4 linked regions of the Saccharomyces cerevisiae S288C genome follow. Changing the gene in region 1 together with any one later gene gives a genetic interaction. Each region holds a gene or a part of one and is shown in the gene's direction. Other genes may lie near its edges. The genes, in order: ASE1, KIP2, BIK1 and FIN1.

Region 1 (8,890 bases):
ACCCATTTATAGATTTTGACAACAAATTGAAATATACATTCGAAGAAAAGATTCCGGGATCTGGCTATAAAGGAATATTGCCTAAGATTGTCGACCTAAACGCTTTAAACGTTAACAGCCATGCTCCTACTAAACCGACCAAGACTTATAAAAAGTGGGGACGCACTATTCTTATTATACTAGTTGCAACATTCTTAATTCTCCCAATAGCCCTGGTTATGAATGGCCTGGGAACCGCTTATAGTTATATTGTTACTTGCAAGTACCGCAAAATGCTCTCTAATGGCATTCTTCACAATGAGGTCAGAGGAAAATTAGGATTGACGGAGCAACTGAAAGGCTATGTTACAGATGCATACGGGTCCATCATAAATTCGGCTTTAGATATGGATGCGAACTATGAAGCAAGTAATAGTAATCTTGTAAACGAAGAAGAGCTTCCTTGGAAGGAATTTATCCAAAAATACACAACTATAAATGATGGTGTTTGGAAATCTAAATTTAAAAAACTGCCTTTTGATGAAAACCGAAAGGTTATTTTGAGAAATCTAAACAAATTGAAATGGATTAGAGTTCCAATATACATAAAGGCTGTAAATGCGCATGGCGTGATTGTGGCACGTAGAGGAATGGACGAGAATACAGCTGCTACTGGGATTGCTTGTATCGAATTTACGGCCCAATTACTAGCATACTTGATGCACAAGAGTAATTGAGCACTTGATTTACACGAAATAGTATATATTTTTGAATGAACACTCTCATGTGATTAAAATGTATTACTACCACTAATGCTTGAAGGGAATTGATAGACTCGTTTTATAGTGGGGGAAAAAGAAAAGAAGAGGATGGTACCCGAATAGTTACTGACAAAAATAAAGAACTCCTCATAGGGGGCTCGAACCCCTGACATTTCGGTATCCTTGCTTAAGCAAATGCGCTTAAAAGCCGAACGCTCTACCAACTGAGCTAACAAGGATGAGTTCTTCGGAGCGTCCTAAATAAAGATTTCTATAGATAGTGGGTATTTAACTTAGGTTATTTAAAGTAATTAACTACCGAAAAGGATACATTGCTAAACTATTTGATAAATGTTGAGGTATAATTTTTATAAAGGAAATAATTTTGGATAGAGTATGTTGGAATAGGAATCAAGTATTATTTATCGACTAGCATTCATATTATTAATATAGTATCATATGCGGCGTAAAAAGATAACCCTAAAGATGAGAAACAGTCATCAGATTTAATGGGAGCTGGATTGCAAGGATATATAATGTAATAATATAATGACTATTATCATAAAGAACAGAAGAAGAATATCAATATTATTAGAAAGAGATATGGATACTCTTTTGGTGGATTTCAATTCTCGAGGGGAACTTTCATATATTTTGTGTATCTAATATTATAGCCTTTAGCAACGGTAGAAGCCCAATAATAATCATTCATTACCTCATGGTAGAGCCTATGATTTGGTTACTTCTAGGGAAGCGTACACAAATCAAATTCGTCACACGTTTCCAATTTGCAAACCTCATATGATAAGGTTTCCAGCAACGCCAACTTTCAACGGATAATACACCTGTTTTATCAGCTGCTCCAGAGAATCATCATCATCGTATCTGCTCAATTACTGTCGTCACAGAATGGACCGTACTTATAGCGATATAATCACTCCGAATCAAGCCAAGCCATCTAGTTGGTCATTTTTAGGACGCCCGACTATAATGTCGTCGATGTATTTTCAATCAGATACTCAACCAACAATTTTATAGTATATATCACCATTGAGAAGCCCTTCACGTAGTTGAAACAGTATACTAACCCAACAATCTCGTATGTTTTTTGATACACCAATCACGTCTCGCAATTTTTCACCGCCACACATTCTGTGGGGGAAGAATACTTCTACTTGGACTAAATTCTACATCAAGTTTTGAAAAATTCCAACCCACAGGCAACATTCATTCTAATGAACAGGGTGAATTCTGCGACCACTATCGTACGAAGAGCATTCATATTTGTACAAAACATTTCAAACGTTTGTTCCGTTTCATTTGTTGCCAATTTGGTTCAAGAAAACTTTAGAAATCAATTGCAGCAATTTTCAAACTGTTCTCTATAAAGCATGAAGAATATTGAACCTTGAATATAATGGAAGAATATCTGCAGATTTATTTGAAGCAGTGAACACTCTGACCTACAGATTAAAGGAAGACGATATAAAGGTAATGACAGACTAACTTGGCAGTTTATCTAAAAAACTTTTCGGAGAATTCAGTTGCTTACGCCAGTAATACTGTGGTAGAAGAAATATTACTTGGTATTCAAGCCATCTACGAGGAAGGAAAATTTATAAAAAACACGAGTACAATAACACGAAGGGAATAAATAAAAATGTCATATGTTCATAACAAGTGCACAGATCGCCCTGCTGATTATGTTACGGATAACAAGATAGAATATCCTTTGGAGCTCGACAATTCTACATAGTATTATATTTTTCTCTTCTTCTTTTCTTTGTTCATTTCCATTGTCATATTTACGTATTTGCTGATGATTGTTGGCATTCCATAATATAGATAACATTATGATAATAATTTCGTCTAACAATCTGTATCATCTTATCAAACCATACATAGCAATATACTACTGATTTAAAACCAGCTAATACAAGATATTTGATCTCTATTTCAAACAAAGGATTTTAAATGTTCTTCAATATGGTCTTCTTTTTTCATTTATTTTTTTTGATTAATATTTTGTTGAAAAGTAAAAGTTTTGAGACATGCAACTTGTATTTCTCAGAAGTGAATAAAAATAAATATATGAGATTTAAGATAGAAAAAACAAATCATCTTTAAAAACTTTCTTTCCTAGTATAGCCACTTTTTATAGTTACAATTGTAAAGAACTGCCTATAAACAATAAGTCTGTCTGCCATATCTACGTTATTATTTAATTTCACTAAATAACCGCCCAGAAAATCGTACAGTGTGATTTTCTTTCGTCATCTAATATTTCCCAATGAGGTAAAAGGTAAATAAGCTTGAGAATCTTTAAGAGGAAACAAATACAAAAATATTATTAAAGTCGAATACCTGGTTTTTTCACAGAACAATAGCAAAGATACGAACAAACGGCTATTACCGAGAATAATTATTTTAAGGACTAATTAGAGCATTTTAATAGGCTATTTTTAATCATCAGATATAGCATTCTGGCATTAGAATTCAAAGGTTTCATTTTGGATTCACTACTTTTGATGTTGAAATGGAGACAGCAACTTCTTCCCCTTTGCCCATTAAATCGAGGAGAAACAGCGAAAATTCTGGGTCTACTACAGTTATACCGCATATGAACCCTTCTTTAGCAACACCGTTGACTGTGTCGACCATGGTAAATCAATCAAATTCTAAAGAGTTTATGAAGTTGACCCCAGTTCGTATTAGAGATTTTGGTTCTCCTTTGAAAAACGTGTCCACTAATTACCATTTTTTAGACTCAGAAAATGGTAAAGGTAACACAATGGATAATATGTATAGAGAAAATTTCATTCTTATTTCAAAGGATCTAGAGAAATTACTGGAGAATCTCAATGTCATATATCAAAATATTGGGTATTCTAATACGGAAATTATCACCAAGGAGAAAATCATATTCACCACTATATCTAATTCCATAAAACAATTTTTTGAGCAAGCTGACGAAGAATTGAAAAGACTGTCCGCAGAGAACGGAATTGAACAGGATATTCTAAATAACATTCTAGAGAGAATAAATGACCCAAGTGGCATAAAGACTATTCCTGACTTATACATTAGAAATGCTATTCTACTGCAAGAAAGTAAAACTGTGCCACAGTCACCGAAAAAGCCACTTTCCTTACTAAGCAAAAAAGCAGCATTAGATACAGCAAAAAAATTTGTCCTAGGAAGTTTTTTACCCAGGCTCCGCGACTATTTAAAATCCTTAATCACTCTAAAACACCTCATACAATCTGTAAAAGAAAACCTTCCTGGATTGACAGAAGCAGATAACGAGGCTATCGCCGAGTTTCCAGAATTAAGCACATTAACCGCATATTTGTTACAAATAGAAAATGGTAAAGGCGATATTGGTTTGTCCATGAAATTTATTATAGATAATAGAAAAGATATTTTAAAGGGATCGGCATTTAAAACTATTAACGAAGAATCTGTGAAACACATGAATGAAGTCATAAAAATTTACGAGGAAGAATACGAGAGGAGGTTTAAAAGCGTACTCACAAAAAAGGTTAGTATTTCATCAATATGTGAACAACTTGGAACTCCCCTAGCAACGTTAATCGGTGAAGATTTTGAACAAGATCTAAGATCATATGGAGAAGAGGAAAACTCCACATCAGAAATACCAAATTTCCACCCGGTAGACAGAGAAAGAATGTCTAAAATTGATATTACATTGGAAAAACTGCAAGCTATCCATAAGGAAAGAGCAGACAAAAAGAGGCTCCTGATGGAACAATGCCAAAAACTTTGGACAAGGCTAAAAATTTCTCAAGAATACATAAAGACTTTTATGCGTAACAATTCAAGTTTATCAACCGAGTCCTTAGGTAGAATCTCTAAAGAAGTTATGCGACTTGAAGCAATGAAAAAAAAACTAATAAAAAAACTTATATCAGATTCCTGGGACAAAATTCAGGAATTGTGGCGTACGTTACAGTATTCAGAAGAAAGTCGGTCTAAATTCATCATTGTATTTGAAGAACTAAGGAACAGTGCAACAACTTTACAGGAAGATGAGCTTCTTCTAGAAACTTGCGAAAATGAGCTAAAAAGACTAGAAGAAAAACTGACCCTTTATAAGCCAATTTTAAAATTAATATCAGATTTTGAATCTTTACAAGAAGATCAAGAATTTTTGGAAAGAAGTTCAAAAGACTCTTCACGGCTTTTGTCTAGAAATTCTCATAAGATATTACTAACTGAAGAAAAAATGAGGAAAAGGATAACAAGACACTTTCCTCGAGTCATCAATGATTTAAGAATTAAATTAGAAGAGGCCGATGGTCTATTTGATCAACCTTTTTTGTTCAAAGGTAAGCCACTTTCAGAAGCAATTGACATTCAGCAACAGGAAATCGAAGCAAAATATCCAAGATGTAGAGTTAGAATGCAGAGATCTAAAAAGGGAAAATGTGGTGCGAACAAAGAGAATAAAGTCATAAAAAACACTTTCAAGGCCACAGAAAGTTCCATCAGGGTACCGATTGGTTTGAATTTAAATGATGCCAACATTACTTATAAAACGCCTTCAAAGAAAACAATACAAGGCTTAACAAAGAATGATCTATCCCAAGAGAACTCGCTTGCTCGTCATATGCAAGGAACAACGAAGTTATCTAGTCCGAACAGAAGAGCAACAAGATTACTAGCACCCACAGTAATATCTAGGAATTCCAAAGGGAATATAGAGAGACCTACCTTAAACAGAAACAGATCATCCGATCTTTCATCATCGCCTAGGATAAATCATACGCATGGCGAACATGCAGTAAAACCACGCCAATTGTTTCCTATCCCGCTGAACAAAGTCGACACTAAGGGTAGTCATATCCCTCAATTAACTAAAGAAAAGGCTTTAGAACTTCTTAAAAGGTCGACTGGCACCACGGGTAAGGAGAATGTACGAAGCCCGGAACGCAAAAGCTCATTAGAAGATTACGCACAAAAATTGAGCAGTCCTTATAAAGAACCTGAGCACAGCATATATAAACTTTCCATGTCGCCAGAAGGTAAATTTCAATTAAACATTCAACAAAAAGATATTGAAAGCGGATTTGATGATACCAGTATGATGGAAGATGAAAATGATAAGGATTTTATTACATGGAAAAATGAGCAAGTTTCGAAATTGAATGGATTCTCCTTTACAGATATTTGAATTTCTTAAAAGCGCATTCATTTAACCCTCTGATCTCTTATTTATTTTTTTTGTGGTTTTTTTTTTCACATCACTTTCTAGCCTTCGCTACATTGTCTCTTTCTTTCCTTCTTTTATTCTATCATTCTCCCTTTCCTTTTTCCATTGCACCGTGACTCTGGATTAATATGGACATAATAAAATTTGTAATATTCAATATAATCATGTAAGCATTCCAAGTAAATACGCAGGTTGGCTAGTCTAAATCGAAAATGTAACATTACTACCATACTATATATCTACATATTGTAATTGTGTAGGTATATACTAATCATTTACCAATGTTTAGGTTCCATGCCTTCTGGTGGTGAAGTTTTAACCGTTCCCTTAGATACGTCTTCCCAGTCTGTACTCAATGCAGTACCATTACTTTCTATAAAGGATTTCATCATAGCCCTTTTGGTATCTGGATCCGCTCCAGCGTAAAGCTTTTGAAAGAAACTATCAGCCGATCCCGCTTCTTCATCAGCTTCTTCATCAATGTCAAGTTTAGACCAATCTATTTTTTTTTTAGAGGACGATGGATAAGACAATCTCTCTTTTGATGCCGTTTCTGCTGATAATAAGCGGGTTGCAGAATCAGAATTTTTACCCTCATCTGATAACCTTGAGGATTCCGTTAAAATATCTTCTTCCAACTTCTTCCATTGCGTGCTATCAATTTTGCTCAAGGTAATTTCCAGCTTTTTTGGGAAAATTTTTAATGACACTGCTTTTGGATCCACCTCATGCGAAAGCTTAGCGTTGTATTGAAATTCAGATCCAGATTTCGGTACTTGGTACGATATCGATAAAGTTCTTCTATCGTTTGGAGAAATATATATATTGACTTGTTCCTTAGACTCAGGAAGATTAACAGTAAATAATGATATAGTGACAGAGGTGCTGGATTGATACCAATCGATTTTAAATTTAGGGGATTCTTGAGGAGCGGTTTCAATTTTGAGAGGTGAAATGGGACTATGAGAAGAATTATTATCTCCTCTGTTTTCAATACTTTCCACTGGTTTAATTGTATGCTTATTAGTTGAATCCTTCTGCTTTTTATTTTTTTTATTCAATTTTGTCTCCAGACGATCTTCCCATAAAGGCAAAGTGTCATCAACGTAACCAAGATTCTTGGCTTTTTTAAAATAAGATTGGGCCAGTTCATAATCTTTGATATTGAAGAAATGAACAAAATAACGAAAGTTAACAAGACCAATCTTCGATCTATCGCCCCTACCCTCAGCTGTCATTAGAGCCTTGTCAAGAAGTTCCTTTGCGTTTTCCATAGTTGCATCGCTGTGCCAATCAGAAAACCCAAAGTATAGCTTTTCAAGACATGCTGCCTTAAAAATGAGAGCCGTTAAATTTGTGGGTGAGCCTTTGAGAATTTCATCATAAAGATGGAGGGCCTTCAGTGGTTCCTTCTCATCATACAAAGCTTTGTAGGCAGTTTTTAAATCTTTTTCAACAGGCATTTCTTTTTCGTTTCCTTAAAACAACTACCTCTTTAACCTTAAAAGACTTCTGCCATTACTTTGTCATAGTGCTTTCGTTCAATTATTAGCGTTCAAAGATATATCGCATATGATCAACTCATCTTGAGACCTTACACCCTAAAGTGCTTATATTGGCTTCGTTTATAGTGATCAAAGTCATCAATATAGTGCTCGTCAGTGTAAGACTGAGAAGATCATTCTTAAAAGAATTAGCAGATGATGCATAAGCACTATGGCGGTATTATCTACTATCATTTCTCTTGTATCTGTGCTGAGCCTGGTTCTATTGAAGAAGAATTCAAAATTTGAATGTCTCAATAGAAAAACCCGGACATTCCATAATGCAAGATCAAAATTTTTCGATGAGCTTTGTTTTGCATTGGCAAATTTTTACCTGCTAAGAAGAAGTCTACATGGAGAAACAGCACCATTATCTCAAGTATGTTCTTAACATAGAGGTCGTTCAGTCAGCGCTAGATAAATCTCATCGGCGATCATAGTTCAGTATTTTTCTAAAGTTTCTTTAAAGGAGCATAATATGACCGAAAACCAAACCGCACATGTAAGGGCGTTGATATTGGATGCCACCCCATTAATTACGCAGTCCTACACACATTACCAGAATTATGCACAGTCTTTTTATACTACTCCCACAGTTTTTCAAGAAATTAAGGATGCTCAAGCAAGGAAAAACCTTGAAATTTGGCAGAGCCTCGGAACTTTGAAATTAGTACATCCAAGTGAAAACTCGATAGCCAAAGTAAGTACGTTCGCCAAATTGACCGGTGACTACTCCGTACTGAGTGCCAATGATTTGCATATTCTTGCTTTGACATACGAGTTAGAAATTAAACTAAATAATGGCGATTGGAGACTGAGGAAAAAACCAGGTGATGCATTAGATGCGTCCAAGGCTGACGTTGGTACGGACGGCAAACAGAAGCTCACAGAAGATAATAAAAAGGAGGAGGACTCTGAAAGTGTTCCAAAAAAAAAGAACAAGAGAAGAGGTGGAAAAAAGCAAAAGGCAAAAAGAGAAGCAAGAGAAGCAAGAGAAGCTGAAAATGCAAACCTTGAGCTAGAGAGTAAAGCTGAGGAACATGTTGAGGAGGCTGGATCCAAAGAGCAGATATGTAATGATGAAAATATAAAGGAATCTTCCGATTTAAATGAAGTATTCGAGGATGCTGATGATGATGGTGATTGGATTACCCCCGAGAACTTAACAGAAGCAATTATTAAGGATAGTGGTGAAGATACCACTGGTTCATTGGGTGTAGAAGCGTCCGAAGAGGATCGCCATGTCGCATTGAATCGACCAGAGAATCAGGTGGCATTGGCGACTGGCGATTTTGCCGTCCAAAATGTAGCGTTGCAGATGAATCTAAATCTAATGAATTTCATGTCAGGTCTGAAAATCAAGCGAATCCGTA
Region 2 (8,312 bases), on another chromosome or scaffold:
GAAGATGCTGGGAGGGAGATATCCAGGCAGATACTCACAGCAATAAAATACATTCACTCTATGGGCATCAGCCATCGTGACCTAAAGCCCGATAATATTCTTATTGAACAAGACGATCCTGTATTGGTAAAGATAACCGACTTTGGTCTGGCAAAAGTACAAGGAAATGGGTCTTTTATGAAAACCTTCTGTGGCACTTTGGCATATGTGGCACCTGAAGTCATCAGAGGTAAAGATACATCCGTATCTCCTGATGAATACGAAGAAAGGAATGAGTACTCTTCGTTAGTGGATATGTGGTCAATGGGATGTCTTGTGTATGTTATCCTAACGGGCCACTTACCTTTTAGTGGTAGCACACAGGACCAATTATATAAACAGATTGGAAGAGGCTCATATCATGAAGGGCCCCTCAAAGATTTCCGGATATCTGAAGAAGCAAGAGATTTCATAGATTCATTGTTACAGGTGGATCCAAATAATAGGTCGACAGCTGCAAAAGCCTTGAATCATCCCTGGATCAAGATGAGTCCATTGGGCTCACAATCATATGGTGATTTTTCACAAATATCCTTATCACAATCGTTGTCGCAGCAGAAATTATTAGAAAATATGGACGATGCTCAATACGAATTTGTCAAAGCGCAAAGGAAATTACAAATGGAGCAACAACTTCAAGAACAGGATCAGGAAGACCAAGATGGAAAAATTCAAGGATTTAAAATACCCGCACACGCCCCTATTCGATATACACAGCCCAAAAGCATTGAAGCAGAAACTAGAGAACAAAAACTTTTACATTCCAATAATACTGAGAATGTCAAGAGCTCAAAGAAAAAGGGTAATGGTAGGTTTTTAACTTTAAAACCATTGCCTGACAGCATTATTCAAGAAAGCCTGGAGATTCAGCAAGGTGTGAATCCATTTTTCATTGGTAGATCCGAGGATTGCAATTGTAAAATTGAAGACAATAGGTTGTCTCGAGTTCATTGCTTCATTTTCAAAAAGAGGCATGCTGTAGGCAAAAGCATGTATGAATCTCCGGCACAAGGTTTAGATGATATTTGGTATTGCCACACCGGAACTAACGTGAGCTATTTAAATAATAACCGCATGATACAGGGTACGAAATTCCTTTTACAAGACGGAGATGAAATCAAGATCATTTGGGATAAAAACAATAAATTTGTCATTGGCTTTAAAGTGGAAATTAACGATACTACAGGTCTGTTTAACGAGGGATTAGGTATGTTACAAGAACAAAGAGTAGTACTTAAGCAAACAGCCGAAGAAAAAGATTTGGTGAAAAAGTTAACCCAGATGATGGCAGCTCAACGTGCAAATCAACCCTCGGCTTCTTCTTCATCAATGTCGGCTAAGAAGCCGCCAGTTAGCGATACAAATAATAACGGCAATAATTCGGTACTAAACGACTTGGTAGAGTCACCGATTAATGCGAATACGGGGAACATTTTGAAGAGAATACATTCGGTAAGTTTATCGCAATCACAAATTGATCCTAGTAAGAAGGTTAAAAGGGCAAAATTGGACCAAACCTCAAAAGGCCCCGAGAATTTGCAATTTTCGTAACCAAGGACAAATACCCATAGAAAATGCTGCCCCTTTTTAAGAGAGAAGATGGTAGATACCAATACTCAGAATTCATCTATTCATAACTTTTTGGGTTTTTATTACATATAGAGTGACGTTTTGATACGATTTACATTTTGAAATATATAGATTTTTGTATATTAATAAGTTTTGATTTTCAGTTTTAGTTATGCTTAATGAATTTTTGAATCAGAAAAAGAAGTTCTGAAAAAAACATAATCCTGCTTGATGTGGTACAACAAGCTCATAAATAATTTTAAAAAGTTTGTTAATCCGTTTTCAATATCTTGAGCTCCTCAATTGTATTTGCTGAGGTCTGATTATTTCTATAACCAAAAGCGGTTATTGAATCTATGGAGAGGCTGTAACCCGTCTTATGCCTTCCGGGTACTATATTTCATTTGCGGGTGTCGATGGATTAAGGGGCGGAGGCGGCCCTTTTTAGGATTTATATAAAAAGCCATACTTCCGTACTTCGTAACCTCTTATCAACTGGTTAAGGGAACAGAGTAAAGAAGTTTGGGTAATTCGCTGCTATTTATTCATTCCACCTTCTTCTTTTTTGAGCGAAGCCTTTATAATCAAATTTTAGTGGTCTTTTCTATTTTTATTTGAGAAGCCTACCACGTAAGGGAAGAATAACAAAAAGTATATCTCACCCTACTGTATTCATAAAAAGTTTTTTCTATTAGAATTCTATAAGAAAAGAAAAAAAAAAAGCCTAGTGACCTAGTATTTAATCCAAATAAAATTCAAACAAAAACCAAAACTAACATGTTCAGCTTGAAAGCATTATTGCCATTGGCCTTGTTGTTGGTCAGCGCCAACCAAGTTGCTGCAAAAGTCCACAAGGCTAAAATTTATAAACACGAGTTGTCCGATGAGATGAAAGAAGTCACTTTCGAGCAACATTTAGCTCATTTAGGCCAAAAGTACTTGACTCAATTTGAGAAAGCTAACCCCGAAGTTGTTTTTTCTAGGGAGCATCCTTTCTTCACTGAAGGTGGTCACGATGTTCCATTGACAAATTACTTGAACGCACAATATTACACTGACATTACTTTGGGTACTCCACCTCAAAACTTCAAGGTTATTTTGGATACTGGTTCTTCAAACCTTTGGGTTCCAAGTAACGAATGTGGTTCCTTGGCTTGTTTCCTACATTCTAAATACGATCATGAAGCTTCATCAAGCTACAAAGCTAATGGTACTGAATTTGCCATTCAATATGGTACTGGTTCTTTGGAAGGTTACATTTCTCAAGACACTTTGTCCATCGGGGATTTGACCATTCCAAAACAAGACTTCGCTGAGGCTACCAGCGAGCCGGGCTTAACATTTGCATTTGGCAAGTTCGATGGTATTTTGGGTTTGGGTTACGATACCATTTCTGTTGATAAGGTGGTCCCTCCATTTTACAACGCCATTCAACAAGATTTGTTGGACGAAAAGAGATTTGCCTTTTATTTGGGAGACACTTCAAAGGATACTGAAAATGGCGGTGAAGCCACCTTTGGTGGTATTGACGAGTCTAAGTTCAAGGGCGATATCACTTGGTTACCTGTTCGTCGTAAGGCTTACTGGGAAGTCAAGTTTGAAGGTATCGGTTTAGGCGACGAGTACGCCGAATTGGAGAGCCATGGTGCCGCCATCGATACTGGTACTTCTTTGATTACCTTGCCATCAGGATTAGCTGAAATGATTAATGCTGAAATTGGGGCCAAGAAGGGTTGGACCGGTCAATATACTCTAGACTGTAACACCAGAGACAATCTACCTGATCTAATTTTCAACTTCAATGGCTACAACTTCACTATTGGGCCATACGATTACACGCTTGAAGTTTCAGGCTCCTGTATCTCTGCAATTACACCAATGGATTTCCCAGAACCTGTTGGCCCACTGGCCATCGTTGGTGATGCCTTCTTGCGTAAATACTATTCTATTTACGATTTGGGCAACAATGCGGTTGGTTTGGCCAAAGCAATTTGAGCTAAACTTTTCTTACTTCTCCGCCCTATCCTTTTCTGCCATCTAGAGAGCTTTTATAAGTAGATAACAATAAAAAAAACTATAGTATATTTAAAAAAAAAAAACAAGACAAACCATCTTGTCCTCAGTTTTAGAATCCATTGTTCTATGCTGCTGCCCATAATGTCATTATATGCGGGTAGCCCGATGATGCGGCTCGAGAATTTCCTTGTTTATCCTTTTCCAATAGCGGAACAATTGATAATAAAGCAATGTAAGCAGAAGCGAAAAATAAAAAGAAATAGGCTGCAGAGATTCACAGGCTGCGCTCTAGAAACATTTGAAATCAAGGCAAACATAGAACACTTGATAAAATTCTTACCATAATACCACCATTGATGATTCAAAAAATGAGCCCAAGCTTAAGGAGGCCATCAACGAGGTCTAGTTCTGGTTCAAGTAATATCCCACAATCGCCCTCTGTACGATCAACTTCATCGTTTTCTAATCTGACAAGAAACTCCATACGGAGCACCTCTAATTCGGGTTCTCAGTCGATTTCTGCATCTTCCACTAGAAGTAACTCCCCACTAAGATCCGTATCAGCCAAATCCGATCCCTTCCTTCACCCAGGTAGGATAAGGATCAGGCGGAGCGACAGTATTAACAACAACTCGAGAAAAAACGATACATATACTGGGTCAATCACTGTGACCATCCGGCCGAAACCACGGAGCGTTGGAACTTCCCGTGACCATGTGGGGCTAAAATCGCCCAGGTACTCTCAACCAAGATCCAACTCACATCACGGTAGCAATACATTTGTTAGAGACCCCTGGTTTATTACTAATGACAAAACAATAGTGCATGAAGAAATTGGAGAGTTCAAGTTCGATCATGTTTTTGCTTCCCATTGCACTAATTTGGAAGTTTATGAAAGAACCAGTAAACCAATGATTGATAAGTTATTGATGGGGTTTAATGCCACCATATTTGCGTACGGTATGACCGGGTCAGGTAAAACGTTTACAATGAGCGGAAATGAACAAGAGCTAGGCCTAATTCCTTTATCTGTGTCGTATTTATTTACCAATATCATGGAACAATCAATGAATGGCGATAAAAAGTTCGACGTTATAATATCGTACCTCGAAATTTACAATGAAAGGATTTACGACCTGTTAGAAAGCGGATTAGAAGAATCCGGTAGTAGAATCAGTACTCCTTCAAGGTTATATATGAGCAAGAGCAACAGCAATGGATTGGGCGTAGAATTAAAAATCAGAGATGACTCTCAGTATGGGGTCAAAGTTATCGGTCTCACCGAAAGAAGATGTGAAAGTAGTGAAGAATTATTGAGGTGGATTGCAGTTGGTGACAAAAGTAGGAAAATTGGCGAAACTGACTACAATGCAAGAAGCTCACGATCTCATGCCATTGTACTGATTCGTTTAACAAGTACTAACGTAAAGAACGGCACCTCAAGATCGAGTACATTGTCGTTGTGTGACCTAGCAGGTTCGGAAAGGGCTACGGGGCAACAAGAGAGGAGAAAGGAAGGTTCATTCATCAACAAATCCTTACTTGCTTTGGGGACTGTGATATCCAAACTCAGTGCCGACAAGATGAACTCAGTAGGCTCAAACATTCCCTCGCCATCTGCAAGTGGCAGTAGCAGCAGTAGTGGAAATGCTACCAATAACGGCACTAGCCCAAGCAACCACATTCCATATCGTGATTCTAAATTGACTAGATTATTGCAGCCGGCACTAAGCGGTGACAGCATAGTGACAACGATATGTACAGTCGACACCAGAAATGATGCGGCAGCGGAAACTATGAATACGCTGAGGTTTGCATCAAGAGCGAAAAACGTCGCACTTCATGTATCCAAAAAATCCATCATCAGTAACGGGAATAACGATGGAGATAAAGATCGCACCATTGAGCTACTGAGACGCCAATTGGAAGAACAACGTAGGATGATCTCTGAATTGAAGAACCGTTCAAACATTGGCGAGCCCTTAACCAAATCTTCCAATGAAAGTACTTATAAAGACATTAAAGCCACCGGCAATGATGGTGATCCGAATTTGGCTCTAATGAGAGCGGAGAATCGAGTATTAAAATATAAACTAGAGAATTGTGAAAAACTACTAGATAAAGATGTGGTTGATTTGCAAGATTCTGAGATTATGGAAATTGTAGAAATGCTTCCCTTTGAGGTCGGCACCCTTTTGGAAACAAAGTTCCAAGGTTTGGAATCACAAATAAGGCAATATAGGAAATACACTCAAAAACTTGAAGACAAGATCATGGCGCTAGAAAAAAGTGGTCATACTGCAATGTCGCTAACTGGGTGTGACGGCACTGAAGTGATCGAATTACAGAAGATGCTCGAGAGGAAGGATAAAATGATTGAGGCCCTGCAGAGTGCCAAACGACTGCGGGATAGGGCTTTGAAACCACTCATTAATACACAGCAATCACCGCACCCTGTCGTGGATAACGATAAATGATTAGGTGAGGGTCCCAGATCTCGGGTGCTTTTTTCCTTGTGCGGATTGTTCTGTAGACTGCGCCTCCGCTTGCCCGGCGCTTGCCTTGAACGGGATCTATTCTCAGAAGACAGCGCATAAAAGGCAGTTTTTAGGCACTTCTCGTTAAGAAAATACACAAATAATGGATTTACGAAGTTCGTTTCAGTGTGGTACCAAAAAATTTGGCATCAGCTAATAAAGATCAAGAAGTTTTGGGGTTGTTTCGAGTCTGTCTCGGCCTTAATTGTGCAGGTACTAAAGGGATTAATATATAAAGATTGTTAAGGCCAAGTGACTGAAACTTGCAAACGTCTTTGAATCAGGCTTATCTCTTAAATACTTATATATATGTTCTTTTATAGACTTCATAATCTCTTGTTCCAAGAACAGTAAAGAGCAATTAAAAAAAGGAAAATAACAGTTAAAGATGATAGCGGATTCATCAGTTTTGAAAAAGCACACAGCAATCAAGAGAAGTACGAGAATAATATCGCTAACACTCGTTTTGCTTGGCGTATTTAGCTTCTTACTACTTACATGGAATGACTCCTTGGAATTCTACAACTCTGCTGACCCTAGCGAAAACAAAAAAAATAGTGAGGAAGAAAGTGAAAAGAAGTTCGTTTACAAGTTGCCAAACTTATTAAAGACAGCAGACAGTTTTCTAAGTAATGAAAATGAACTAAATTTCCAAAAAGTCAAAGAAGAAATTTCAAATATTCAAAGCGAGGTTGAAGTCGACATCCCAGAACCCTCATCCAAAGCTACATCAAAATTTTCTTCAAGATCGTTCCAAACTGATAATGTCGTGACGGCGACGACCACAACAACACTAAATCCACGGTCATCTTCTCTGGCCTTGCAGAAAAACTGCGATCACAAAAAATTCGACCCTAGAACAGATTTTCTAGATATAATAAGAACCTCTCCAGCGGTATTATTCATTAAATCATCACAAGCAGACTCCATTTTCTTAAAAAATCTATTACAAAGAGAATTTGAGATTTCACCCGAATTGGCCACTGTTGATTTGGAAAAACACTCTCATGGCTATGAATTAGAAAAGTATATCAAACAAAATAAACTAAATATCGATACTAGTGCTGCCTTGGAATCCATTCAGTCGCCTTATTTATTTTTGAATGGTATTTCCGTGATAAATCGTGGAATGGTGAGAGATATAATCGAACCTCATTCGAAGGGATTGCTACTACCTCTTCTAAAGTCTGAAGCGCGTGGCAACTTGCTGGTAGAAAAAAAAGACATCCCTTCTAATTCTTAATTTGTTATCACTCCTATCGACGAGCAGCCGCAGCTAAAAGAACGTTTTAATTATTCCCAAATTCACGTAAGCGATCCTCTTTATGTGCTATATATACATTCATAACATAGTCATTGCATTTTCTATCATACGATTCAACTTGAACAAGTGTTTAACCATTTACGTCGTAAATGTCTACAGTATTATCTTTGGTCGTTGTTGTGGATTCATGCTTTTTTCTTTTCGAGAGCTCTTCGTTTTCAGAACTCAGCTCTTCCTTTTCGGACGACTCCCTTCGACTATTCTCCGTACTTGCTGGTTCGTAGTTAAAAAAGCATTCCCCCCACATGCAAAATATTCCTTTCATATATCCATTCTCCTTTACATATAATACTTTACATTTGGCAAATGGACCTAGTACTTTCCTCGTAGCTCGAGAAAGCTGGTTCAAATCAGAGTTCCTTGGCAAAAACATAATCACATTAGGGCTTAGTTTAAGAAAACTTTTCAACATCTTGGTAATCCCCATAGGCTTTAGATGTTGCTCTAAGTCATACACATCGTTTCTTAAGTATTCTGGACCACCCCACGGGGGTGATCCAAATACACAGTCGTACTTTATTTTGGAAAGTTTCTGCTTAGAGACTAGCTTTTTCCAGGATCCCCGCTTCAGCCATATTCTGTCGTCCACACCGTAGCTTTGGGCGTTTTTCGCAGTACAATATATGTGTTCAATACTGTAGTCCACTCCATAGACGTAAGGAAATTGCATGGCAAATTGTATGGTGTTCCCGCCCCCACCACAGAAAACATCCAGTATTCTTTCGGCATTTGGCATGCATGCCTTAACAAAATTTGCCAGGAAGCAGGCAATTCTTTCGGGCGTCACACTGAACCACAGCTCATCAGTCATATATATCGACGCCGAA
Region 3 (7,425 bases), on another chromosome or scaffold:
TAAGGACACCATACTGAAGGAACTGACTACATAATTTGTACTTTTTTCGTAGACTGAAGTATCCTATATCAACATATATACAAAAAAACAATCCAATATCATGTCTGCTGTTGCAACTTATTTGAAAACTTTAACTGCTCGTCGTACTATTTACGCTTTGAAACCGGAGTTACCTGGTGAAATTACTATCAACGACATCCAATCCGTCGTCCAAACCATCATTAAAGAAACACCCACCGCTTTCAACTCCCAGCCAAATCGCGCTGTTATCTTGACTGGTGAAACTCACAAAAAAGTTTGGGACGAAGTGACTAAGGCTATAGAAAGCCCTGCCGGTCAAAAGAGGCCTGCTTCAGCAAGGGATGAGGCCTTTGGTTCTGTAATCTTCTTCACCGACGACAAGGTAACTGAAAAGCTAAAGGCTGACTTCCCAGCGTACGCAGCTGCATTCCCTAGTTTCGCGGACCATACCTCTGGTGCCGCTCAAATCAACTCGTGGGTTGCCTTGGAGGCAATGGGCCTGGGTGGTCACCTACAACACTACAATGGTTACATAAAAGCTGCTTTGCCAAGCAAAATCCCTGAGTCTTGGACCGTACAAGCTCAATTAGTCTTCGGTACCCCAGCCGCACCTCCAGGTGAAAAGACCTACATCAAAAACGATGTTGAAATCTTCAATTAAGGAACAGTATATAAGTACAGAATTATAGGTATAGATTAAATGCGAACGTCAATATTATTTTCATCAGTCGTATTCTTGGAGACAGTCACCAGGCACAATGCCTCTATCTTCATTGAGGTATCTTTTATCGTCAACACTGACGTGAATAGAACCCTTTTGTGTATTACACTTTTCTACCAGACACCATCCATCGGTATGAGTGGCCAGAATTTTAACTTTTTCACCCAGCGAGATTCTTATTTCGTCTGTCAATCTAGGCTCGTAATCCTGAATAACTGTATATGTCTTCCCTAATTGGACGCTAGCCTCCCCATTATATTTGGAGTTTGGAGTAAGCGGCAATGGTTTAGAACGTGACAAATGTTGTAAATGCTGATACATTTTACTTTGTCTTCTTTTTTTCCTTTTCTTTAGTGGTTTTGATGGGGTGGGTATTATCAACTCGTGTTTCTCAGTGCTTTTATTGCAGTCATGATGATCATTGAAGTTGGTTTCCAAAGTTTGTTGTGCAGTAGTACCGTATATCACTGAATGGGGTCTTGCCGTGATTAGATCGATGTTATTGTTGCGATAAGATGTGATTTGTGAATCTGGCGTGGTATTACCCAAGTTATTCACACTGTCATTTGCATCCAGAGGCGTGTTATTATACTCCAAGATGGGCGATCGTTCGTCAGGCATTATATCTGACTCATTGAAGTAACCCTTACTTATCCGGGAGAGCATTTTCATTTGCTTCAGTTGTGGAGCCCCAGTTGGGGTCTTTAAAGAGGTCTTTGATAAGCCATAATCCTTAAAGTATGTAGAACCCCTCAAGAACCATCGAGATAGTGGAGATTCGTAACTCCATTTCTCACTCGTTTTTAACGCAGTTTTCTTTGAGGACACCGTTTTTTGAGAAGGTAAATCATTATACGAGGGCATGCTGGATTCAATATGGACAATATTCGGTGGTTTAGTATACAGGAATGCATCCACAACTTTCTCTTCCTCCATTTCGTTCACTTTGGGGTCTAACGAAATGTTTTTACCAGACCAAGCATATGGGTTCTTCACCGTTTTCTTAGGTGTCAGTATATGCTGCGGTATTATGGGTTTGGAAATTTTGTACTGTATTTTTGAAGACATGTTATCACCCGAGGTCCACTGGGTGTCGTTATACTTCTCAATATCACGATTAGAATATGAATTCTGATCCTCACACTTACTCTGCCAAAATAACCGTGAGAACCAATTAGTGCGGCGACAATATTCCTCTTCCCTTGGAATCGTAGCTGACATGGGTGGATTTGAAATGGACACCGAATTCCTTTTAAGGTAGAAATAACACAAAAGGATAAGTAATCCGAAACAGAATATTCCGATGGGAAGTCCGATTGAAAGCCCAATTGTGCTTGCTGAAGATGATTTTGGCTGAGCCGCCACATTAGAAAAGAGTAGATTAGACGGTGTAGAGCGTATTGATGTCGCTATTGTCGTTACTGTTGTTACACTCGTCGAGGAACTAGCTTGCGAAGATATGTAATTTGATGCTAAGGTAGTAGACATTGCGGCGACTGTCGTCAGCACAGTTGTTGTCGTCTGCATTATTGTTGCTACCATTTTGATTTTCAGAAACTTGATGGCTTATATCCTGCTCTTAAAGGAAAAAAGATAAAGGATGTCGTATCCAAATATTTTAAGAGCAACACATACCTTACAAAGCCACTCTTACATTGTCATTTAAATAAAACCAATCCCGAGAATTACGTTATTTGTTTCAAATTACAGACGTTTCATGTTTGTTTCATCATCGCACCAAAATGAGACAGCGCGAAAAGTGACAGTGCAATTATGCCATTCAATACGTCAAAAAGGGCATCCTGCAGAGATACAACTCTGTTTTGAAAGGGTCCACATGGTAAATATGGAAGCAAAAGAAGGATTGAGGCATCACTGACAACAAAATTGTCTTGCAGCCCAATTAATAAAAAAAAATAAAGTTATATATATAAACAAATACGTAAACAAAGGATAGAAGGCGAACTGAATCATCGTTCAGTAGCGGTTCTGGTTGCCGTTATTGTTCTGTTGAGAAAAGTTGCCAGAAAAATTGAAGGATTCGTGCTGTCCATTGGAGTTCTGGTTTCCGCCGTATTGCGGTCTTCCGTACTCATTGGATTGCTGTTGACCATTCTGTTGCGGTCTACCATACTCATTAGCCTGTTGCTGGCCCCCATAACTCGAATTTGAATTGGAGTTATTGCCCAGGTAGGAACTTGCCATGGAAGCCAAAGCTGAGAATGAACTGGAGTGGCCTTGTTGCTGCTGCTGACCCTGTTGTTGATGCTGATAGTTTTGGCCTTGTTGCTGGTATTGCTGCTGGTTGTTTTGGCCTTGTTGATTGTATTGCTGTTGGTTGGATTGAGTTTGTCCACCACCTAAGTAAGATTGAGCCATGGAGGCCAATGAGGAAAAAGCACCACCAGATTGTCCCTGTTGTTGTTGGTAACCACCGTTGCCACCTTGGTACTGTTGATTATTGTAACCTTGACTATTTTGGTTACCGTTTTGATAGGATTGGTTATAGCCCTGTTGACTATTGTTGGAGTTCTGATTATTATTGGAATGCATAAAAGAGCTTGCCATAGAAGCCAGTGCTCCAAAGGAGGAACCACCGGAGCTTTGATTTTGACCTTGCTGATTATTGTTGTTGGAATTCATGAAAGATGAAGCCAAAGACGCCAAAGCAGTAAAAGAACCTTGACCTTGACCTTGTCCTTGACCTTGACCTTGACCTTGACCTTGTCCCTGACCTTGGGAATTGTTACCTGACTTAAAGAATTGAGAAGCCAAGGCAGCCAGGCCGGAAGCACCCATACTTTGGCTCCCGCCGCCAGAACCACTTAGCATTGACATGACAGTCCCTACGTCAAACCCTCTGTTAGAAGAACCTTTATTTGATGAGTGTGTCATCACTGTGGCTAACAAAGCTAGTTTTCCTAGTTGCGTTTGGGAAGAACCCTTAGAGTCTGCCATTAAAGTGTTCATAAAAGATGAACCACCACCAGCAGCACGATCTTGCGAGGCGTCACTACCACCACTACGGTTGTCCATGACGTATCCTGCGATTTTTTGAATTAATGATTCAATAGTTGACATTTGCTCGTCATTGGGGTTCGACTGAGCTGCGGATGTCAACTTCGCAACAGCTTCTGCATGGTTTCCTTGAGAAAAATGAGACTCAGCCTCTGAGATTAACTTATCCGTATCCATTTCAGATCTTTGCTATACGTTTGTATCGCTATATGTACGTTCTTTTAATGAACTTTCTCCTTTCTTTATCGTGTAGCTTGCTTGGGTATCTTTTAATGAGTTGCGGACAGTGAGATTTTTCAGAAGGGCAATTGGCCAAGACACCAAAAACGTTTGGACGAGACAGGCATCAAAGGACAAGGTAAAAGGCGTTGAGCTGTGGCTGGCTGTGTATGCGTTTGAAATACCATGGATAGATATCAAAGAAAGATAGGATGTTTCATACAAATCCCAAATTTGGGGCGCGGACAACTGAAATACGTGGGTCCAGTGGACACGAAAGCTGGAATGTTTGCTGGTGTAGACTTACTTGCCAACATTGGTAAGAACGATGGATCATTCATGGGGAAGAAGTATTTTCAAACGGAGTATCCTCAAAGTGGACTATTTATTCAGTTGCAAAAAGTCGCATCATTGATCGAGAAGGCATCGATATCGCAAACCTCGAGAAGAACGACAATGGAACCGCTATCAATACCCAAAAACAGATCTATTGTGAGGCTCACTAACCAGTTCTCTCCCATGGATGATCCTAAATCCCCCACACCCATGAGAAGTTTCCGGATCACCAGTCGGCACAGCGGTAATCAACAGTCGATGGACCAGGAGGCATCGGATCACCATCAACAGCAAGAATTTGGTTACGATAACAGAGAAGACAGAATGGAGGTCGACTCTATCCTGTCATCAGACAGAAAGGCTAATCACAACACCACCAGCGATTGGAAACCGGACAATGGCCACATGAATGACCTCAATAGCAGCGAAGTTACAATTGAATTACGAGAAGCCCAATTGACCATCGAAAAGCTACAAAGGAAACAACTACACTACAAAAGGCTACTCGATGACCAAAGAATGGTCCTCGAAGAAGTGCAACCGACTTTTGATAGGTATGAAGCCACAATACAAGAAAGAGAGAAAGAGATAGACCATCTCAAGCAACAATTGGAGCTCGAACGCAGACAGCAAGCCAAACAAAAGCAGTTTTTTGACGCTGAGAATGAACAGCTACTTGCTGTCGTAAGCCAACTACACGAAGAGATCAAAGAAAACGAAGAGAGAAATCTTTCTCATAATCAACCCACTGGTGCCAACGAAGATGTCGAACTCCTGAAAAAACAGCTGGAACAATTACGCAACATAGAAGACCAATTTGAGTTACACAAGACAAAGTGGGCTAAAGAACGCGAACAATTGAAAATGCATAACGATTCGCTCAGTAAAGAATACCAAAATTTGAGCAAGGAACTATTTTTGACAAAACCACAAGATTCCTCATCGGAAGAGGTGGCATCCTTAACGAAAAAACTTGAAGAGGCTAATGAAAAAATCAAACAGTTGGAACAGGCTCAAGCACAAACAGCCGTGGAATCGTTGCCAATTTTCGACCCCCCTGCACCAGTCGATACCACGGCAGGAAGACAACAGTGGTGTGAGCATTGCGATACGATGGGTCATAATACAGCAGAATGCCCCCATCACAATCCTGACAACCAGCAGTTCTTCTAGGCAGTCGAACTGACTCTAATAGTGACTCCGGTAAATTAGTTAATTAATTGCTAAACCCATGCACAGTGACTCACGTTTTTTTATCAGTCATTCGATATAGAAGGTAAGAAAAGGATATGACTATGAACAGTAGTATACTGTGTATATAATAGATATGGAACGTTATATTCACCTCCGATGTGTGTTGTACATACATAAAAATATCATAGCACAACTGCGCTGTGTAATAGTAATACAATAGTTTACAAAATTTTTTTTCTGAATAATGGTTTTGCCGATTCTACCGTTAATTGATGATCTGGCCTCATGGAATAGTAAGAAGGAATACGTTTCACTTGTTGGTCAGGTACTTTTGGATGGCTCGAGCCTGAGTAATGAAGAGATTCTCCAGTTCTCCAAAGAGGAAGAAGTTCCATTGGTGGCTTTGTCCTTGCCAAGTGGTAAATTCAGCGATGATGAAATCATTGCCTTCTTGAACAACGGAGTTTCTTCTCTGTTCATTGCTAGCCAAGATGCTAAAACAGCCGAACACTTGGTTGAACAATTGAATGTACCAAAGGAGCGTGTTGTTGTGGAAGAGAACGGTGTTTTCTCCAATCAATTCATGGTAAAACAAAAATTCTCGCAAGATAAAATTGTGTCCATAAAGAAATTAAGCAAGGATATGTTGACCAAAGAAGTGCTTGGTGAAGTACGTACAGACCGTCCTGACGGTTTATATACCACCCTAGTTGTCGACCAATATGAGCGTTGTCTAGGGTTGGTGTATTCTTCGAAGAAATCTATAGCAAAGGCCATCGATTTGGGTCGTGGCGTTTATTATTCTCGTTCTAGGAATGAAATCTGGATCAAGGGTGAAACTTCTGGCAATGGCCAAAAGCTTTTACAAATCTCTACTGACTGTGATTCGGATGCCTTAAAGTTTATCGTTGAACAAGAAAACGTTGGATTTTGCCACTTGGAGACCATGTCTTGCTTTGGTGAATTCAAGCATGGTTTGGTGGGGCTAGAATCTTTACTAAAACAAAGGCTACAGGACGCTCCAGAGGAATCTTATACTAGAAGACTATTCAACGACTCTGCATTGTTAGATGCCAAGATCAAGGAAGAAGCTGAAGAACTGACTGAGGCAAAGGGTAAGAAGGAGCTTTCTTGGGAGGCTGCCGATTTGTTCTACTTTGCACTGGCCAAATTAGTGGCCAACGATGTTTCATTGAAGGACGTCGAGAATAATCTGAATATGAAGCATCTGAAGGTTACAAGACGGAAAGGTGATGCTAAGCCAAAGTTTGTTGGACAACCAAAGGCTGAAGAAGAAAAACTGACCGGTCCAATTCACTTGGACGTGGTGAAGGCTTCCGACAAAGTTGGTGTGCAGAAGGCTTTGAGCAGACCAATCCAAAAGACTTCTGAAATTATGCATTTAGTCAATCCGATCATCGAAAATGTTAGAGACAAAGGTAACTCTGCCCTTTTGGAGTACACAGAAAAGTTTGATGGTGTAAAATTATCCAATCCTGTTCTTAATGCTCCATTCCCAGAAGAATACTTTGAAGGTTTAACCGAGGAAATGAAGGAAGCTTTGGACCTTTCAATTGAAAACGTCCGCAAATTCCATGCTGCTCAATTGCCAACAGAGACTCTTGAAGTTGAAACCCAACCTGGTGTCTTGTGTTCCAGATTCCCTCGTCCTATTGAAAAAGTTGGTTTGTATATCCCTGGTGGCACTGCCATTTTACCAAGTACTGCATTAATGCTTGGTGTTCCAGCACAAGTTGCCCAATGTAAGGAGATTGTGTTTGCATCTCCACCAAGAAAATCTGATGGTAAAGTTTCACCCGAAGTTGTTTATGTCGCAGAAAAAGTTGGCGCTTCCAAGATTGTTCTAGCTGGTGGTGCCCAAGCCGTTGCTGCTATGGCTTACGGGACAGAAACTA
Region 4 (7,228 bases), on another chromosome or scaffold:
GCTTATCATTGCTTCTTTTACAAACGTATCCTTTTAAGATTTTATCCGGACCACTGAGCTGGCATTTTTCTTAGCTTGCTTTTGTCTTTGTTGCACGGGCGACTGAACTTCTTGGAAAATCATGTAAGCCGCAATTGCTTACTAAGTCAAAATTCTAATGGATTCTCCTCTCGAATAAAATTGAATAGTCTGAGCAGTGAAAAAAATGTATATCTTATGTGTGAATGTTATATACCATAATCTAACGAAAGATAGCGAATTAAAGACCGGTCTGTGGCACTCGTAAATATTACCAACAAAGAAAGTTCCCAATATAATCATATAGAAAATGTCAAATTCTCCAACAGTAGCAACTTTGTCACAAGAATATTTCGATCCGAATATTCCTCAAATACTCCCACACGAGAAAATGTATAAGATTCAGGTGGGGAAATCATTATTCAAAATCAGCGGTGCTTCTTTAAGCTCGGATGGTCCTAGTTTCTTCACCGAATATTTTTCTAAGAAGCGCTCTCCTTCCAATAACGATGACAGTAATAACGATACCATGGAATCTAATAAAAATGAGGTTCTATTCATAGACAGATCAGCCGAAGTTTTTGAATGGATCTATCAACATTTGCAAGGATATATAATTGAGATTAAGGATGAAGTACAATATACCATGCTTTTCGCAGATGCGATGTACTACAATTTACCGCGATTGCGATCTTTACTGAAAGAAACGGACTATTATTTTACCAACATTGGTGGACAATCATTCAAGATAGCGAAAAATTTATTTAGAAGAGAAGGAGATTCCCCAAATTATTTCGAAATATATGCGGCTACAGTTTATATCGATGTGGAAGAGCTGATAATATCTAAAAAACTATTAAGGCCTCCATCTCATTCTGCTCCTTACATTCCAAGATCTTCTGAGTACTTCAAAGATTTGCTGACGTTACTGGGAGGAGCATCCATCGATCTAGATGATAATAAAAGAAATGCCTTGATAAAAGAGTGCCGTTATTACAGGCTTTTAAATCTCGAACAGCGGCTAATCAAATCTCATATTAGCTATAACCCAATAACAAGGAAAGAAGAGATTTGCCTCCTATTGAAGGATTTGTCAAAAAAAGGCATCACTTTTCCAGCTTCTTCTGCATTTTCAACCTCGCCCTACTTTGAAGACGATTTCTGTAGCATAAATGAATGCGACTCGCTATCAAAAACCCGTGAACAGCCAGCAAATAAAAAGATTAAACTTGACATGACTGAAAAATATAACGATTCCTGGAATATGCTTTGTTATAAGAGACCTTTTTTAGATAAGCATCCGAGAGAGTTGATATTTCAAATAAATTCGACTGATTGTACGATAATCCTCAATAAGGAAAGCCAAAGTATCCATGTAGACATAACTGGAGAATCCGCCTATAAGTTTGAGGCCTTATTTGGAAGTCATTTGCCAAATACACCCTCTGGTGCGCCTAAGTTGAAAAATTACCAGTATCGGTTCCCATCCGATAGTACGCAGACGAAAATTGAAACTCATTATTTACTTCCAGCATGCATATATCTCTGTGATTTGGACATAAACGGCATTAAGATTTCTCAAGTTCAAACTTTGCTAACTGATAAAAATAAATTCAATGACAGGGTCATTGACGTGTCTGATCCACTTGACCTTAGATTTTGTTCTGGTTTAAAGCTTTACTTAAGAAAGTCTCTCTGGAAACTGGCCGTGAAAGATGGCAATATTATGCTGATAGCTATTAAAGCTATAGCATTTAACGGAACTAAGGAATACTACAAGGGATATGAATATCTGTAGGATTAGCTTGATAAAATTACTCTTCTGCCAAGCTTTTAAGTATATGTATGCTCTCCGTTGTATTTTTTATATGCCATTATAGTACTTGAAGTATAACGGAAACCCATTGTAACTCACATTCCTGTAGTAGCTTCTTTTCTTACTTTTTGTAGGCTCTTGTCTCTTTTCTCTTGTTATTTATCAGTTAATATGTAAGAAAAAAATCGACTTCGGGAATTAGGATACAGACACCTCTTAAAACCAGAGATAAAGTAACGTAGAGAAAATAGTAGGATAATGTGTGCAAAAAGAAGAAACTTTGGTGTCTTAAAATAGATAAAAATAACCCTACTGCCAATTTGAAAGGGCCCGAAAAATGTTTGATAAGTTACCTTATGAGATTTTTAAACAAATTGCCTGGAGAATTCCGCAGGAAGATAAAATTTCGTTAACATATGTATGCAAAAGATCCTATGAATCAATTATACCTTTCATCTACCAGAATTTATTTCTTAATGAAACCTATCACATCAATGGTGACTATGATAACTCATTTGGAACCTGTTATTGGTCTGTCCTAAACTTTCACTACATAGATGAAGATGATTCCAATACTAAAAACGACATGTCGAATAGAAGACTAGCTAAAGTGAAATTTAGTTATTTCGAAAGAACATTAGCAGAGTCACCGAAAAGATTATGTCCCTTAATTAATCGAATACGTTGTACATGGCATTTAAATGAAGATGTGATGACAAATGTACTTAAATTGCTATCCGAGTATGGATCCAATTTGAAATTTGTCGATCAATTTGTTCGCTCATCAGTTAACAAGGGGCTAGAACCTTTATCAAAGCAATTAAAAACTCTAACATTAACGCCACCAACGTTAATGCCCACCCATAACAGTGTAAGCGGTTCTTATTTGAATAAAATTGATCGGTTGCTCTTGAAGTGCGATCTATCTCGATTAGAAAAACTTTCCATTCATATAAACGCATTGAAGTACTTCAAAAATACCGGGTCTCCTATGAAGATCAAAGCATTGGTATTAAATTTGCGACCCGACACACTTAACCTTGCGGAGTACGACGCTTCCGATGACTTCTTAAAAGAGCTAGAATACATCGACATATTTGATGCTTCCACCTTAAGGCAGCTAGAGATTTTGTCTTGGTACAGTCGCGACGATTTTCCCTCTGGCGAAGAAGGTGGTTTTGACAGGTTATATGTCAAATGGGGGCTAGAAGGATTTTGGAAATTTCCGAACATTGAGAAACTATCATTAGCGTCATTGGTTTACAGCGAATTTTTTCTAATGAATTGTTTGGCTGTGTTTCACAATTTAAAGATACTGAAACTTGATTACATGGGTAAATTTGACTTCGATGTGTCGTTGATTAACTTCTTATCTAAACAAGTGTGTGGCAAAAAATTACAGCGTTTTGACATACACTGCCAACTAAATCACAGGCTTTTTTTTCCCATGACAGATAACCCACTAACTCGCTTGAATTTCGATGGTTTCTGCCCTTGTTCAACTTGCAAAAATACAATTCACGAGGTCATTCTAAAAAAAATCTTTCCTGAAACCCGGTCAAAACTTTTAAAGAACCCAAATAAGTTCCAAGCCCATAATTTCTTTTACCAAATGTTTTTCGAGAACAAGATCATGCCCTATACAAACATTATTGACAACGAATCACCTGCGATGGGATGGGATTCTGTACCTATTGAAACGTTTGTACGAAAGTTCAATGAAAATCTGCAAAGCACCATAGAAAATACTGAGAATATTACAGTGAATAAAATTACTAGAGAAGATGCCATTAGTTTGTACCACTTATACCTTCATTATCTAAAAGACGTATTTAAAGTTTTTGAGCAAAGTTTGCCGAACTTAGAATATCTAACCATCAACGGTATACCTACAAAAATAATACAAGTGGACGAGTTACAACGATGCGCGGTTCCCCTCTTCTATAATAATGGCTATAAAAGCAACTCTGTTTATGAATTGGTGGACGCAGAAGCTCTATTTAGTTGATACTGTGAGACATGGCGGTTATAACACGTACATAATGATATATACTCTAAATACTGCAAATTGTCAACAAGAGGAAATCAAAACAAATGGATTGTATAGTCTAGTTAGAGCTTTCTCAGTGTTCTCACTGGATTGCAGTGATGTGACATAGTTCAATAAAACAAATTATGAGCAATAAAAGCAACCGCAGGAGTTTACGTGACATAGGGAATACGATTGGTCGAAATAATATACCAAGTGACAAGGACAATGTCTTTGTGAGATTGAGTATGTCCCCTTTGAGGACGACAAGCCAAAAAGAGTTTTTGAAACCACCTATGAGGATATCACCTAACAAGACAGATGGAATGAAGCATAGTATACAAGTAACACCAAGAAGGATTATGTCGCCGGAATGTCTGAAGGGCTATGTCTCTAAGGAAACTCAAAGCCTGGATAGGCCTCAGTTCAAAAATTCGAATAAAAATGTGAAGATCCAAAACTCAGATCATATAACTAATATAATATTCCCTACATCACCAACCAAACTGACATTCAGTAATGAAAATAAAATCGGGGGTGATGGTTCGTTAACGAGAATACGGGCCCGGTTTAAGAATGGACTCATGTCACCTGAAAGGATACAGCAGCAACAGCAGCAACATATTCTCCCATCGGATGCCAAAAGCAACACTGACCTCTGTTCTAATACTGAGCTCAAGGACGCCCCATTTGAGAATGACCTTCCTCGAGCTAAATTGAAAGGGAAGAATTTATTAGTTGAACTCAAGAAAGAAGAGGAAGACGTGGGAAATGGCATAGAATCCCTTACTAAATCGAACACTAAACTGAATTCCATGCTGGCGAACGAAGGTAAGATACACAAAGCTAGTTTCCAGAAAAGTGTAAAATTTAAACTACCTGATAATATAGTGACTGAAGAAACCGTGGAACTTAAAGAAATAAAGGACTTGCTACTACAAATGTTGAGAAGACAGCGAGAGATTGAATCAAGATTATCCAATATCGAACTTCAACTCACGGAAATACCGAAACATAAGTAATCATATCCCTTCTCACATTTTTTACACAGGAAGTAAGCAAGTTATGTTATATTTCCGACACTATAATTAATTCTTAGCAGTTAAAGGTGCTTTGTCTATATTACATTTACATACAGCTTGAGTGATCCTGACCGGATATAGGGTCCTATTTTCTTACGTGAACGGCTTTTCTTCTTGTTCCCGATGGCCTTCATGTGAAAAAGCACTCCTCGGGAGGCGGAAAAATATCAAAAGTACGGGGCGAAGTTTATAATGAAGATTTATCGATATAAATTTTGGTTATTTCAGGAGAACAAGAAAGCTCTTTACACTAAAATTATCAGAGAAGAAGCTGATATATTAGCCCTAAGGAGTACACCAAAACACAATGAATATTGTCAAATTACAAGTATGTATGCCTTTCTCGAATTCCCACACTGCTGAGCACAGTGAAAAAGTTTTTTCTACCTTTTAGGTTGTAATAAACGTTTCATATACTAACAAACTCTTCTGCGATTAGAGAAAATTTCCAATTTTGACTCAAGAGGATCTTTTTTCCACAATTGAAAAGTTCAGAGCCATTGACTTAGATGATAAAGGATGGGTTGAAAAACAGCAAGCTCTAGAAGCGGTGTCCAAAGATGGTGATGCTACTTATGACGAAGCAAGAGAAACCCTGAAGCATGTGGGTGTGGATGCGTCAGGCCGTGTTGAACTGGACGATTACGTCGGGTTGGTTGCAAAATTAAGAGAATCTAAAACAGGAGCTGCTCCACAGACCACTTTCAACGTAGCACCTAACTCAACCCCTATTGTTTCCACTGCTGCCACAGGACTACAGCACAAGGGTAAGGGTACTCAAGCCAAGATTATTGTTGCTGGCTCCCAAACAGGTACTACACATACCATCAATGAAGAAGAAAGACGTGAATTTACTAAACATATCAATAGCGTCTTGGCGGGAGACCAAGATATAGGTGATTTGCTTCCATTTCCTACTGATACTTTCCAATTATTTGATGAATGTAGGGATGGGTTGGTGCTATCTAAGTTGATCAACGACTCTGTTCCTGATACTATCGATACAAGAGTTTTGAATTGGCCTAAGAAGGGTAAGGAATTGAATAATTTTCAGGCTAGTGAAAATGCTAATATTGTTATTAATTCTGCAAAAGCCATTGGTTGTGTCGTTGTTAATGTTCATTCCGAGGACATTATTGAAGGTAGAGAGCATTTGATCCTGGGTTTGATTTGGCAAATTATTAGGAGAGGTTTGTTAAGTAAAATTGATATTAAGCTGCATCCTGAGTTATACCGTCTATTGGAGGATGATGAAACGTTGGAGCAATTTTTGAGGTTGCCTCCGGAGCAAATTCTACTACGTTGGTTTAACTACCATTTGAAGCAAGCAAACTGGAACAGAAGGGTTACCAATTTTTCAAAAGACGTGTCTGATGGTGAAAACTATACTATCTTGTTGAACCAGTTGGACCCCGCCTTGTGTTCTAAGGCACCATTACAAACCACAGATTTAATGGAGAGAGCTGAGCAAGTTTTACAAAATGCTGAAAAGCTAGATTGTAGAAAGTATTTAACCCCAAGTTCATTAGTTGCGGGGAACCCTAAATTAAACCTGGCTTTCGTGGCACATCTATTCAATACACATCCTGGATTAGAGCCTATTCAGGAAGAGGAAAAGCCTGAAATTGAAGAATTTGACGCCGAAGGTGAGAGAGAGGCAAGAGTCTTTACCTTATGGTTGAACTCTCTTGACGTTGATCCACCTGTCATTTCGCTGTTTGATGATTTGAAGGATGGTTTGATATTATTGCAAGCTTACGAAAAGGTGATGCCCGGTGCTGTTGATTTTAAACATGTCAACAAAAGACCGGCCTCGGGTGCAGAGATATCCAGATTCAAAGCCTTAGAAAACACCAACTATGCAGTCGACTTGGGCAGAGCCAAAGGATTTTCTTTGGTTGGTATCGAAGGATCTGATATTGTAGATGGTAACAAATTACTGACCTTAGGGTTAGTGTGGCAATTGATGCGTAGAAATATTTCGATAACCATGAAGACATTATCCTCAAGTGGTAGAGACATGAGTGATTCTCAAATATTAAAGTGGGCCCAAGACCAGGTAACTAAAGGTGGTAAAAACTCTACCATTAGATCATTTAAGGACCAAGCTTTATCAAACGCCCACTTCTTATTGGATGTTCTGAATGGTATCGCGCCGGGCTATGTTGATTATGATCTAGTCACCCCTGGTAACACCGAGGAAGAAAGGTACGCAAACGCAAGATTGGCTATTTCTATTGCTAGAAAGTTGGGTGCTTTGATTTGGTTGGTGCCAGAAGATAT

What was found.
Region 2: mutations in ASE1 (region 1) and KIP2 together harm fitness more than expected from each alone (negative genetic interaction), as found in Saccharomyces cerevisiae (5 studies listed by BioGRID, with this or other methods).
Region 3: mutations in ASE1 (region 1) and BIK1 together harm fitness more than expected from each alone (negative genetic interaction), as found in Saccharomyces cerevisiae (5 studies listed by BioGRID, with this or other methods).
Region 4: mutations in ASE1 (region 1) and FIN1 together harm fitness more than expected from each alone (negative genetic interaction), as found in Saccharomyces cerevisiae (5 studies listed by BioGRID, with this or other methods).

The regions. Positions count from the first base shown.
Region 1 is NC_001147.6:430,732-439,621, reverse strand, and holds ASE1 (Ase1p), read left to right. Parts: upstream 1-3,276; coding exon 3,277-5,934; downstream 5,935-8,890. Other genes in the region: LPL1 (putative hydrolase), read left to right, coding at 1-716; co-chaperone SGT1, read right to left, coding at 6,249-7,436; NOB1 (rRNA-binding endoribonuclease), read left to right, coding at 7,996-8,890. UniProt on the Saccharomyces cerevisiae protein: Required for anaphase spindle elongation.
Region 2 is NC_001148.4:255,005-263,316, reverse strand, and holds KIP2 (Kip2p), read left to right. Parts: upstream 1-3,980; coding exon 3,981-6,101; downstream 6,102-8,312. Other genes in the region: serine/threonine/tyrosine protein kinase RAD53, read left to right, coding at 1-1,590; PEP4 (proteinase A), read left to right, coding at 2,386-3,603; pheromone-regulated protein PRM4, read left to right, coding at 6,550-7,404; TGS1 (RNA methyltransferase), read right to left, coding at 7,556-8,312. UniProt on the Saccharomyces cerevisiae protein: Required for assembly of the mitotic spindle.
Region 3 is NC_001135.5:66,662-74,086, reverse strand, and holds BIK1 (Bik1p), read left to right. Parts: upstream 1-4,165; coding exon 4,166-5,488; downstream 5,489-7,425. Other genes in the region: HBN1 (putative nitroreductase), read left to right, coding at 101-682; FUS1 (Fus1p), read right to left, coding at 746-2,284; prion domain-containing protein RNQ1, read right to left, coding at 2,720-3,937; HIS4 (trifunctional histidinol dehydrogenase/phosphoribosyl-AMP cyclohydrolase/phosphoribosyl-ATP diphosphatase), read left to right, coding at 5,754-7,425. UniProt on the Saccharomyces cerevisiae protein: Required for nuclear fusion, chromosome disjunction, and nuclear segregation during mitosis. Probably required for the formation or stabilization of microtubules during mitosis and for spindle pole body fusion during conjugation.
Region 4 is NC_001136.10:713,404-720,631, reverse strand, and holds FIN1 (Fin1p), read left to right. Parts: upstream 1-4,009; coding exon 4,010-4,885; downstream 4,886-7,228. Other genes in the region: MRX16 (Mrx16p), read left to right, coding at 329-1,816; YDR131C (uncharacterized protein), read left to right, coding at 2,172-3,842; SAC6 (fimbrin), read left to right, coding at 5,253-5,273, 5,385-7,228. UniProt on the Saccharomyces cerevisiae protein: Forms cell-cycle specific filaments between the spindle pole bodies of dividing yeast cells.